Linked DNA regions of Schizosaccharomyces pombe. Changing the gene in region 1 together with any one later gene gives a genetic interaction. Each region holds a gene or a part of one and is shown in the gene's direction. Other genes may lie near its edges.

What was found.
Region 2: of tnr3 (region 1) and asp1, changing one suppresses a phenotype caused by changing the other (phenotypic suppression), as found in Schizosaccharomyces pombe (one study listed by BioGRID).

What each region holds. Positions count from the first base shown.
Region 1 is NC_003424.3:1,314,486-1,320,888, reverse strand, and holds tnr3 (thiamine diphosphokinase Tnr3/ Nudix hydrolase fusion protein), read left to right. Parts: upstream 1-1,910; 5' UTR 1,911-2,086; coding exon 2,087-3,796; 3' UTR 3,797-3,908; downstream 3,909-6,403. Other genes in the region: Rho GDP dissociation inhibitor Rdi1, read right to left, coding at 426-1,043; tvp15 (COPI-coated vesicle-associated protein), read right to left, coding at 4,392-4,790.
Region 2 is NC_003421.2:570,970-577,596, reverse strand, and holds asp1 (inositol hexakisphosphate kinase/inositol pyrophosphate synthase), read left to right. Parts: upstream 1-3,024; 5' UTR 3,025-3,124; coding exon 3,125-5,887; 3' UTR 5,888-6,127; downstream 6,128-6,627. Other genes in the region: U3 snoRNP-associated protein Utp21, read right to left, coding at 1-1,925, 1,985-2,060; tyrosine--tRNA (Tyr) ligase Yrs1, read left to right, coding at 6,149-6,627.

The sequences.
Region 1 (6,403 bases):
TCTCAAAACTCATAATTTCAGTGAAAAGAATATAGTCGGATGTATATATCCTTCCAAAATATCGCATTTGTAAGCTTTGGAACGAGATTTAAAAGAAACAACGTAGATTGCTAAAGGGGAATATGTGAAGATCATATGTAAGCTATAAAAGTAATTTGCACAACAAAAGGCAATCTCCAAACAATCCGAGATATTTGGGTGAAGTAAAGTTTCACTGAAGAAGGTGGTAAGAAATCGTCATTACCATATTCAATTGTAGTCCAGACACCGATATGTGAAAGAAATTGGTAAGAAAAAGGAAAATGTTTGCTTTGTAACAAAACATCACTATAAATTTCTTTATAGTACTGAATACCGAGAATTTTGAATAACCAAGTAGATTTGAAATTTACGATTTTAAAAAATAAGGCTGGCATAAATAATGACTACTTCCAGCTTTTTGCAACGTCAAAAGCCCAAACAAATTCATGATGGACCACTTTATCATCATCAACAAACTTTCCATTGGCTTCATAATGTCCGCGAGCCAGCATACCTGTAGGTGCCTCATCTGGTTCAGAGGTAAAATCATAAGGTGTTTCAGAAGGTCCATAGGAGCCAATCATGGTAGATGTTTTGTCAACAACAAAGCCACGTCTGCGAACAGTTTGGACATATCTTAAGCCTGAAATTACTTCGTGTTGTACACGAAATTTAACACCAATCTTAAACTCGCTTCCTTCCTTAATAGTGAACCCTTTCTTGCGGATTTGTTCGACACTTGCTGCATCTTCCATGTTAACATCAACTGGGTCACGGCCGTCAACAAGTAAACTCAGCTTTAAAATAACAACTGTTCTACGATCATTCGAGGGTGAATAACCTGTTCCCGTGATACCCAGAGATGCTTTCCATTTCTGCAATGATTCATCTTCGGCATCCATCTTCATATATTCATTAAGTGATTTCTTTTCTCCCAGAGAAACCGGAGGTCCATGCTCAAATGTATCATCCTCTAGTTCAGGGTTATGTTGATCAGCGGATACTTCATTGTTAACACTCATTTTAAAACAACGCAATAGAATTTAATTATCTGCCAGTAGCTAAACCAAGGACAATTTGTTTTTATAAAAAAAGTTCAGATTCGTTGTTTTGTTAATGTACTGTTCTAGAGTTGAAATTGGCAAAGGGAACATAGCATATTGCTATCTCAACAATATAACCAGATGTACTACTATGTTAACATTTCGGTGACTTGGATTATTTTAAATATAACGGAGATGCAGAAAAGCGTGAGAAAAGTATAAGATTTTTTTTTTCTTTCTATTCCCTTCGATTTTTTTTTTAGTGTCATTATCCATGCTTTTATACATGTAAATATGTTGGAGTAATCCCAAGCATTGACGTCTTATGAGACGTAAAAAAGAAGGAACTTTCTATGCTAGCTTTTCTGTAGGCAGATGTTCTTTACATGAAATTGTTTGAGCAGCAAGTTATAGCTGTAGTCGATAACTATTATACAACCAGATTTGATACGTTTAGCGGAAAAATTATCAATCACTTCAGGAATTATTATTAAAAAACTTACGAAGGAAGTCCACTGAAAATAAAAATCATGTGAAAGATACGCTTAACTATACCAAACCCTAATTAATTACAAAAACGGCGGTTGGTGTTAAAGTGAAAATTAGTAAGCCAATCTGTGTGCTATTATTTTTAATACCAAGACATTCCTGGCACGGAGTTCTGCTCCCATTGTAATTTTCCTCGTAGACCACACTCTTGAAAGACAATTACTAGATTACCTTGATTAAGGTACTGTTTGTTTAATATCAACTTCTTTTTTGTTTTTAAAGATCATTTTGAAAGGGGTTTAATAGATTAGCATTTCGTTATACGATAAGGTTTTAGTCAACTACCCGATTTCTACTACCAGGAACCAGTTTCCTTGAGCTTTTACCATTTGCTAGTATAGGGTGTTTTATATATTATTCTATTTATGTTGAATTGAACCATAAGTGTCTCCTTCGCATAAATACACTAGCCTTTTTTATTCCTGTTTTATTTTAGAACACTATCCATTTGAGAGGAAAATTTGGGCAAGGTAATGGCAATGTCGTCTATCACCTCTGCTAAACAATTAAATGCCGAAGAGCTTTTAGATGAATGCGATTCTTTTAATGGGGAATTTGTTCCTGGAACAATTCCCTTCCGTGCAAATGGCGCTGCCATTGGATATGTTACCCCTTTGGTACTAGAAATCCTCATAAAGGCGGATAATTTCAAATTCAATTGGGTTTATGTTCCAGGAGAGTATATTGAAATAAACGCATCTACTTTTGAAAAAAGAACTGACATCTTAGCTAAGGTACTGGAGCATTGGCGCCATAACAATACATTTGGAATTGCTGATCAATGGAGGAATGAATTATATACTGTTTATGGAAAATCTAAAAAGCCTGTATTGGCCGTTGAACGGGGCGGATTTTGGTTATTCGGTTTTTTGAGCACTGGTGTGCATTGTACCATGTATATTCCAGCAACTAAAGAACATCCTCTTCGTATTTGGGTACCACGAAGATCACCGACTAAACAAACGTGGCCCAATTATTTAGATAATAGCGTTGCCGGCGGAATTGCTCATGGTGATTCAGTCATAGGCACTATGATAAAGGAATTTTCTGAAGAAGCTAATTTGGACGTTTCTTCTATGAATCTTATTCCTTGTGGCACTGTCTCCTACATCAAAATGGAGAAAAGGCATTGGATTCAGCCCGAGTTACAATATGTATTCGATTTACCTGTTGATGATCTTGTTATCCCAAGAATTAATGATGGAGAAGTCGCTGGTTTCAGTTTATTACCATTGAATCAAGTACTTCATGAACTTGAATTAAAAAGTTTTAAGCCAAATTGTGCTCTGGTTCTTTTAGACTTTTTAATCCGTCATGGTATCATTACTCCACAGCATCCTCAGTATCTCCAAACTTTAGAACGGATACATAGACCGTTGCCTGTTCCTGTTGGAAAATATGAAAGAGGGGATTCTTTTGAAGATACTTCAAAGAAAGCTGAAACGTGTGTTCCTGCAAAACCCCAAAAAGCCACTCATCAGCTAGCTCCATGTAAGGCTTGGTTACGTGACTATGATACTGATCAAAAGTTTGCGGTATTACTATTAAATCAACCCATAGATATACCGGATGATAGATTTCGTACTTTATGGAAAAGAGCTAGTATCCGAGTCTGCGCAGACGGTGGTGCTAACCAATTGAGAAATTACGATTCTTCGCTCAAACCGGATTATGTCGTTGGTGACTTTGATTCGTTAACAGATGAAACTAAAGCTTATTATAAAGAAATGGGAGTCAACATTGTATTCGACCCATGCCAAAACACCACTGACTTTATGAAATGCCATAAAATAATTAAAGAACATGGGATTGATACTATTTTTGTATTATGTGGCATGGGTGGAAGAGTTGATCATGCCATTGGTAATTTAAACCATCTATTCTGGGCCGCCTCGATTTCTGAAAAGAATGAAGTATTTCTATTAACTGAATTGAATGTATCAACTTTGCTTCAACCCGGAATAAATCATGTTGATTGTCACGACAACATTGGTTTACATTGCGGTCTTCTGCCAGTAGGACAGAGTGTGTATGTTAAAAAAACCAGCGGCCTTGAGTGGAATATTGAGGATCGCATTTGTCAATTTGGAGGACTCGTCAGCTCTTGCAATGTAGTGACAAAAGCAACGGTGACTATAGAGGTCAACAATTTTATAGTATGGACAATGGAAACACGTCTATAAGACCTGTAAGTAAGAAACTCAGAAAGAATATTCATTATTCCCAACAGCTCAAAAAAATTAAGATATTTATTTAGATATAAAAAATATAAAACATCTATAGAGTATAAGCGGTAATGGTCATAAAGCAAAAAGATAATTGATTAGAGTAATGAAATAAAATAGAATTTTAGTAAAGCCAACTAACATTTTGAACTGCAAGATACATCTCAGAAAGTGAAGAAATAGAAAAAAATCATAATTTTTCATATTGTTGAGCTTGACATGTCATTTTTATCCTCCTCGATACACCCGACAGTTCAGAATCCAAGCTGGACAATTAAAGGTATTTGAATGTATAACCCTAAAACCCATCACAAATACCATAGCTACTACGCTAATGTTGATATACAAAAATTATACATAGTTAAGAGATCGTATACATATTTATACTCATTAACTACTCTGAGGATGACTGCTAAAGTGACTGTCTTTTAGAACACCTACCCTGAAGAAAACGAATGTATCCAGAATAAATCATATGTAGGAGGACATCGGGAAAAGAGGGGGGTAGGAACAAGAACCGAATCAAATAATATAGTTAGAAATAAAAAAAAGTCTACACTTCATCAACGTTATCATCCCAATCATTATCACGCATGCTTCTGGGAGCGTAGTCTTGCAATCCTGCTACGTAGTTTGCACCACAGTAGGCGATACCTGCAAGAAGAACTAAAAAGCCTAGGAAAGAAGTAAACCCGGAGTAAGAAAAGAGTAAAGTACCCATGAAAGCGTAGAAGAAGCCCCTTCCTAAGAATGAGAACATGAACGATCCATATTTAATAGCAATAGGAGGAATTTCCTTTTCTAAACCAATAGTTCCCAAACCGAAAACGATGATGAACAATGCAAGTAAAGCGTTTACGAAGCTAAATGAAAATAACTTGATAAATCCGCTTAAAACGAAGATACCACCTACGCCCAAATTAATGGCACTAAACATTTTTGTTTTATCCATTGTGAATTAAGTGTATGCAACCAATATTAAATTTTTCAAGCAATATGTATTTTAGTCGATGTTTGCTTAAAGACAAAGAGAAATGCAAGTTACTAAGCCTGCCTATGCTTACCGATGCGGTCATGCATATTTACGAACTATTGAAATACGGTAAATAAAAATAACGAATTCCATAATTCTCAACCAACTTTTTGTTGTTTACAGAAAATGAATAATTCAATTCATCGAAAATGCATTTTGTTTTCTATAGCATTCTTTGTACTGTTTTTGAAGTTAAAAACACTATCATTTAGTAAATAATGTACTTTCGACCCGGCTTTTTTTTGAGACAACTGTTGTTGACAATTTTAAGGTCTGTGGGTCAATTTATATATTTGTCAAACGTTCGTAAACAAATGTATTTGTATCTTAGTTTCATACGAGCTCCTTTAGCTATATGTGATCTACTCTCACTCGGGATCTACAGGGCTGTAAAATTTTTTGCACTCAAGTTTCACGCGATTATTATCAGATGCACCTGAATAAAAAAGAATAAAGTAAAATAAAAAGCCGAATGTTTTATAACGTAGTAAAATTCCTTCTTATTTTGATCGCTTTGCCATTCATTTGATTATGTTTATAATGATAATTTCACGTGCAATGTCAACTTTGATAGACGGCTACATCTATTTCTAATTCGTAACGCTATAAAAAAAAACTCCATTTTAAACTGAGAATAAAGCAAGAAGTCGATTAGCCGAATATAGATATCAGCATGATTCGTTTTAAACGGCCCAAAGCCTTGTATATATTTGAGTAATTTTCTACTGTACTTAATTGTCTGTAATTAAACAACTATTTGTTACTCCTACCTTGTTACACTTGGATTTAATACTCTGGAATTAGTGTACTAACTCCTAAATAAATATTTAAGTAGTATTTTTCTTTAAGATATTTCTTTAATAAACATTCTCTTCTAATGAAAAGAAAAGCGTCATTATTGGTATTTTAGTTTTCAGAGCAAAGAGGTACTTAACATTTATTATGTCGCAATTATTTTATATATATATTATATTAATATTTTGTAATGAGAAACCTAGGCCTAATAGTGTAGTGGTTAACATACCTCTTTCGGGTAATCCCCACTTGTATGCTGAGTTTAGAGGTGATCCCTGGTTCGAATCCTGGTTAGGCCCCTTTTTATACTGGGCTTGCTGTATAAATTTATCTGATTAATTTTGAAACTACGCAAACCAACTTTCAATAATTAAAAAGTTTTCCTTACACCTTGCTTGATTACCTTTTAATAGATGTGAAATAAGAACTACTAAATTTGTGATAAATACCGAAAACAATCAGAAGAGTCGAAAAGAAGCATTCAAAAAATTGTGTAAATAACGAGTAGGTTTCTAATAATACGATAATTTCACAGGATGCCTATAATGGATCTGGCAGCTAATGAGCAAATCATTTTTACTTTTTTTTTTATTTAAAACATACGAAAAGATTCTCTTTTTTTGCTGCAAACAAAATTTACTGTAATTGAACCTAGAATTGGTAGCAAAGGCATTACACCGTATTACTGTAAACTTCACTAATGTTTGTGTTTTTAGGCGCATGATGAACATGATTAC
Region 2 (6,627 bases), on another chromosome or scaffold:
GGAAGGAGCTGAAACTTCAACAACATCATCAAGGCGAAGTGCCTTTGTAGAAACGTGTTTGAACATTGAAAGGTTCGTCCATAAGCTAATTCCCACCTGGTCCACATGCGTTGTTGCCAGATAATCACCAGTTGGTGCAAATGTCAAACTTGTGCATACACTGGGTGTAGAAATTGAATCAATTAAGTGACCAGTGGGTAGATCCCATGTGCGAATTGTTCCATCTAAAGATGCAGTAACAAGCCATCTGCCAGTATCGGAAAAATCAAAGCTGGTGAGACGATTCGAATGACCCCATAATTCACGAACAATCTTCCTTGTTTGTACGTCAACAATGCGAATGCCGAAATCGTCACAAGCGACAGCAACGAGGTCTGATGAATGTTGATAAATCGCATGAGTAATGGAACTTCCAACGTCTAATGAATCTATTAAGTTTCCTTTGTTGAAATCCCAAAATTTTAAAATCCCGTCCAGCGATGCAGTTACAAGAATGCGATTTACATTGTCCAACATAACTGCAGTGACTGGTTTGCCTGATAGAGAGCTTTGTCCAAATGATTTCCTTTTGATACCACTTTGCATGTTATAAACATCTACAACGCCTTTAGAGCTACCAATCAAACCAAAATTACCACAACAACTTACACAAACAGACCGTACTGACGTACCGTCACTAGTTGGTAAAACGTGTTGACCCAATGTTTTAGATTTCCAGTTCCAAGTGCGAGCAGAACTATCATTTTTGTGGGCAGTTAGAACATTATCCCAATATTTTTCACGAGTATTTGAAGAAGATAGGGCAGTTATCTCGGGTAATTTTAATTCTTCCGGGCGAACATTAAGTTTCTTTGCCTTTGAAATAACAGAGCCTTGAGATAGTTCGGTTGATTGTGAGTCTTGGTATAAACTAACTGCTCTTAATGACCGATCAGTTGCAGCCGAAATCAAGAAGTGCACACTTTTCCCATAAAACTTAACAAATGAAGGTGGCTCGTAATGACCATTACGAGAACGTAGGATTCTAGGAGCACCATCCATTGAATCAAAGATCCATTCTTTAAGAGAGTTATCTGGACCAGCAGTTACTAATATGGGCTGCCCGTTAAGAAACTGTATCTTTGGAAGTGACCCAAAATGAGCATTATATGTAACATTTTGAATTCTTCGCTTTGAAAGATCCCAAAAAGAAAGGTCACCAATGGGGTTGGAAGAAGCTAATATTGGTGTCCCATCAGTACGGAATGAACATGAAAGAACTTGGCCATCTTGTTTGAATTCCATGAGTATTGAACCATTTTTAAGATTAAAGATTACAATACGACCACTAATAGTACCAACAGCTAAAACATCGAGGACAGGGGCTTGTGTTAAACTAGTGATTCCATCACCAAAAAATTCCTGAAATTCATGTACACGTTTAGAAACACGCAAATTCCAAATCTGTAATGCTCCATCTGAGAATCCTAGCAGTATTTTGTTCAAATAAGTGCTTGGATGTAGTAAACTAGTGATATCTGCATTGGTATTAGGAAGAAATGTAGTATGAAGCTCAGGAACACTATATTTAGAAGCGTGTTTCCATACATAAACATGACGAGAAGATGTACAAGCAATAATCCACTCACCAAAAGCATCTAAATGAGTGACTGTTCCATGTTCTTGCTCCACATCAATGTCCCATATTATTTTACCACGTTTATATGCAAAAATTTTTGATCCGGCAGCTACAAGCATGAAATCTTTAAAGGATTTTAAACAAGTAATTTCCTTGTCTAATTGCTTGCCAACGAAAAGCAAATTCAACTTTTCGCAGTCATATGTTTGAAATGTGTTTCCCACCGACGTTGTTACCAAAAAATGGGTTCCACGAGCCTCAATGTCGAAAGGTACTGCATTGGAAACGTGACCGATGGATCTAAAGGCTAAAAATACAGTTAGCAATCTGTTCATTCCAAAAGAAAAAGAGAGAATTTTGACTTACGAGCATAGATCCTAGATTTTCTTAGAGGCTTCACCGCATTTTCATAAGTCCTCCGTTTCTTCTCTGCAAATGGCATTTTATCACAGGAAAGAACACAAATAGCACGTAAAATGGCAAAGGATGGCTCTTGTCCTGTAACTTGCAAAAAGCAGTGTTTGTGAAATTCTAGCAACCCTTTACGACCTACAGTAATAATCGTTAATTTACGACAGTGTATTTACTGAAATCGATAAATGTGTTTAACGATATGGTCAATCCGTCATATATCAATTTTCGGTAATTATAAATAAGAATCGTTCTGCTATTGTTCCGTTTATTTAAGTAAACAAATTATTTATTATTAAAAAAAAAAGAGAACTAAACATTGATGTCTAATGTTATTGTAAGATTTAATCGTAAAAACATGTTAGCAAAACTTCTACATTCTCTTCAGAATACCTAAAGAACTCTATTCACATATATCAAAAAGTGGTAAGGTAAATCTATGATTGTTGGAATTCTGGGCTTGTAAATAATGAAATAAATTTCAGTAAATTCTTAAAAAATATTTTTCTTTATGTAAAAGGTGCGAGAACAATATACTCTTGAACCCAGCTAGTAGAAGTAATTTTTTAATGTTTGTTGCTTGTAAAATTTAAACATTCCAGTCCACGTGTTTTCGCACGGACGAAAAGTAAAAACCTATTAAACAAAAATTTTTTCTAATTCTTTTTTAATTTAATATTGATGGATTTTACAAGCTTTTACTAAACTGGAAGAATACGTTTTTGAAAGAAGAATAACAGAAACTGGGCTTGGTTAAAAAAATTTTTATGAAAACCCAAATTAACTAACCCAGTATAATTAGTAAAAAAGTTATTCATAGAAGCATTACTGCGAAACAAATTCAATATTCACTGTCCACTTCATTTAAGCAACAATTTCTTATTTATTTACATTTCGTTAGGTAAACAAATGTTACCTCGCTGAATTGTAAGGTTAACCGTACAAGTAACATTGATCGACTAGGTGTGTACTAACACCGTGTACCTACATCTCTCATAACCAAACAAGTGAGGGAATTGGCCATTGAAAGAATACAAGTGGGAAAAAGGTGTTTTAAGCGTTATTAAATATTTTAACGTAGTTGAATAATAAAGGATGATTCAAAATGCAAGTCATCTTACATCTATCGACACAGAGTCATCTACCAGAACGGCGTCGCCTGTTTCCTCAATCGTTACACCTACTAAACGAAATGTAGTTGGAATCTGTGCCATGGATGCCAAAGCTCGCTCAAAACCATGTCGGAATATTCTGAACAGAATCATCGCAGAAGGTGAGTTTGAAGCCATAGTATTCGGTGACAACATGATTTTGGACGAAGCTGTGGAAAATTGGCCTGCTTGTGATTATTTGATATGTTTCTACTCTAGTGGATTTCCATTGAAGAAAGCTGAAAAGTATGTCGAGTTGCGTAAACCTTTTTGTGTAAACGATGTAGTATTCCAAGAGTTGCTTTGGGATAGACGGCTTGTGTTGAACATCCTTGATGCCATACGTGTTTCCACCCCTCAGCGTTTGATTTGCTCTCGTGATGGAGGTCCTAAAATTAATAAAGTCCTAGAAGAAAAGTTGCGTCGAAAGTTTGGAATAGAAATCACAGAGGTTCCTACCCCAGAAGTAAAAATGTTGGACGAAGATACTCTTTCTGTTGATGGCAAGATAATAAAGAAGCCGTACGTTGAAAAACCAGTCTATGGTGAAGATCACAATATTTATATTTATTTCCCTAAATCCGTTGGTGGGGGAGGTCGCAAATTATTTCGTAAAGTCGCAAATAAGTCTTCAGATTATGATCCAGATCTTTGTGCTCCACGCACTGAAGGATCTTTTATTTACGAGGAATTCATGAATGTCGATAACGCGGAAGACGTAAAGGTTTATACCGTGGGTCCTCATTACAGCCATGCAGAAACCCGCAAATCACCCGTAGTGGACGGAATTGTGAGAAGGAATCCACATGGTAAGGAAATTAGGTTTATCACCAATCTTTCAGAGGAAGAAAAAAATATGGCCTCTAAGATATCAATTGCGTTTGAGCAACCTGTTTGTGGATTTGATCTTCTTCGTGTCTCAGGTCAGTCGTATGTGATTGATGTGAATGGATGGTCCTTCGTCAAGGATAACAACGATTATTATGATAATGCTGCTCGAATTTTGAAACAAATGTTTCATGTTGCCGAACGTCATAGACGGAATCGTGTACCTTCAGTCCAAGAAGTTTTAAATCCTCCGCCTAGAGAAAGTGAGGCATGGAGACTTAAAAGTTTGGTCGGAGTCCTGCGTCACGCGGATCGTACACCTAAACAAAAGTTTAAGTTTTCATTTACATCTGATCCATTTGTAAAATTATTGCAAGGTCATACCGAGGAAGTTATTTTAAGAAACGAACAACTCAATTCTGTTTTGGCAGCTACCAACCTTGCTACAGAACTCAAATGCGAAGATATCAACAAGTTAAAACAGTTACGCTTAGCTTTGGAAACGAAGAAAGACTTACCGGGGACAAAAGTGCAACTTAAACCGGCTTATTCCCCAGAGGGAAAGCTTTTGAAACTGCAGCTAATTATCAAATGGGGTGGTGAATTTACTCATTCCGCGAGATACCAATCTAAGGATTTAGGAGAGCAGTTTCATAAGGACCTGTATATTATGAATCGTGATTGCCTGAAAGATGTCGAAATATACACATCTTCTGAAAGACGTGTCTCTGCTTCTGCTGAAATTTTTGCAATGGCCTTTTTGGAGCAAGAAACTATTCCTAGCGACTTACTCAAAGTTCGCAAAGATCTGTTAGATGATTCTAATGCTGCCAAGGATACTATGGATAAGGTTAAGAAACACTTGAAATCATTATTAAGAGTTGGAGATACGGCTAGAAAGGAGTTTACTTGGCCAGAAAACATGCCCAAGCCTTGTGAAGTAATGCAACAAGTTGTTCAACTCATGAAATATCATCGCGCAGTAATGAGAGAGAATTTTATTATTTTGGGACCTGAGGTTGAGCAAGTTCAATCGCGTTGGTGTTGTAATGAAAATCCTGCGCTCTTTAGGGAAAGGTGGGAGAAGTTGTTTAGCGAATTTTGTGACTCTGAGAAAGCAGACCCATCCAAGGTTTCTGAACTATACGATACATTGAAGTATGATGCTCTTCACAATCGGCAATTTTTGGAACGCATATTTACTCCCTATCAGTATCTCAAATTGCCTCAGAGTCCAAGCTTGATTGCCAAAGAGCCTCCCCAAAGAACCGATAGCAATGGCAATCTTGTTGGGATGACCGGTGCAAATACTAATCACACTGAAAGGCCGTTGGAAAAGTTGTATGAGCTATACGATTTAGCAAAAGTATTATTTGATTTTGTTTCTCCTCAAGAATATGGTATAGAACCGAAAGAAAAGTTAGAAATTGGTTTATTAACAAGTGTACCGTTGCTTCGTCAAATCATACATGACATTAAAGAGGCACGAGATTCTGATCATGCTTCAACAAGAATGTACTTTACTAAAGAGTCTCATATCTATACCTTGCTTAATTGTATACTTGAATCAGGACTACCTATGAAATTACCTAGAAATCAAATTCCCGAATTAGATTATCTCACTCAAATATGCTTTGAGTTATTCGAGAGGACTAATCCTTCAGGAAATAAGGAATTTTCTGTTCGTATCACACTCTCACCAGGTTGTTATGCCCAATGTCCATTGGATATGAATCTTGATGCTAAACACTGTATTAGCGTTTCACCTCGCAGGTCGCTTACAAGACATTTAGACCTTCAGCAGTTTATAACGAAAACCGAGGACCTCTGCAACTCAGTTCATCTTCCCAAAAGGTTTATTCCTGTTAACATTAATTAACCGCTTTTACCCTTTTTACGAATGTTTTGATAACATAAACATTTTTTAAACGATATTTTATTAGTAATTGCACATAATTAAACCAAATTATTTATTAAACCTTGGTTAATAATTTTGTCTGAATAATTTGTTGTTCGGGTTGCAGTCACGGTGCCGCGGCAATTCCGAACGTTGATCGCAGTCCATGATTGCAATCGAAAACATCGTTAACCAACATCACCAATTTTTGTGAGTTCCATTTAACGTTGGATATCAAGCAAGATGTCGCTTACTCCGGATGAAAAATATGAGTTGATTACTCGTAATCTTCAAGAGGTGCTTGGCGCCAAAATGATTCGCGAAATTTTGAATGAACGCGATATCAGCTTGTACTGGGGCAGTGCACCTACTGGCCGTCCTCATTGTGGTTATTTTGTGCCAATGATGAAGTTGGCTGATTTTTTAAAGGCCGGTGTACATGTTACTGTTCTTTTAGCCGATGTCCATGCTTTTTTGGATAACATGAAGGCGCCGATGGAACTCGTTCAACACCGTGTTCGTTATTATGAAATTATTGTCAAATCTATTCTAAAATCGTTGAATATTCCCATTGAGAAGCTTCGTTTTGTCATTGGCTCCAGCTATCAGCTGAAGGAGGATTATACCCTTGATAACTTTCGACTTGCTGCATCTACGACAGAGCACACTGCTCGTCGTGCCGGTGCAGAAGTTGTCAAGCAGGTCGCTAGTCCTCTATTGTC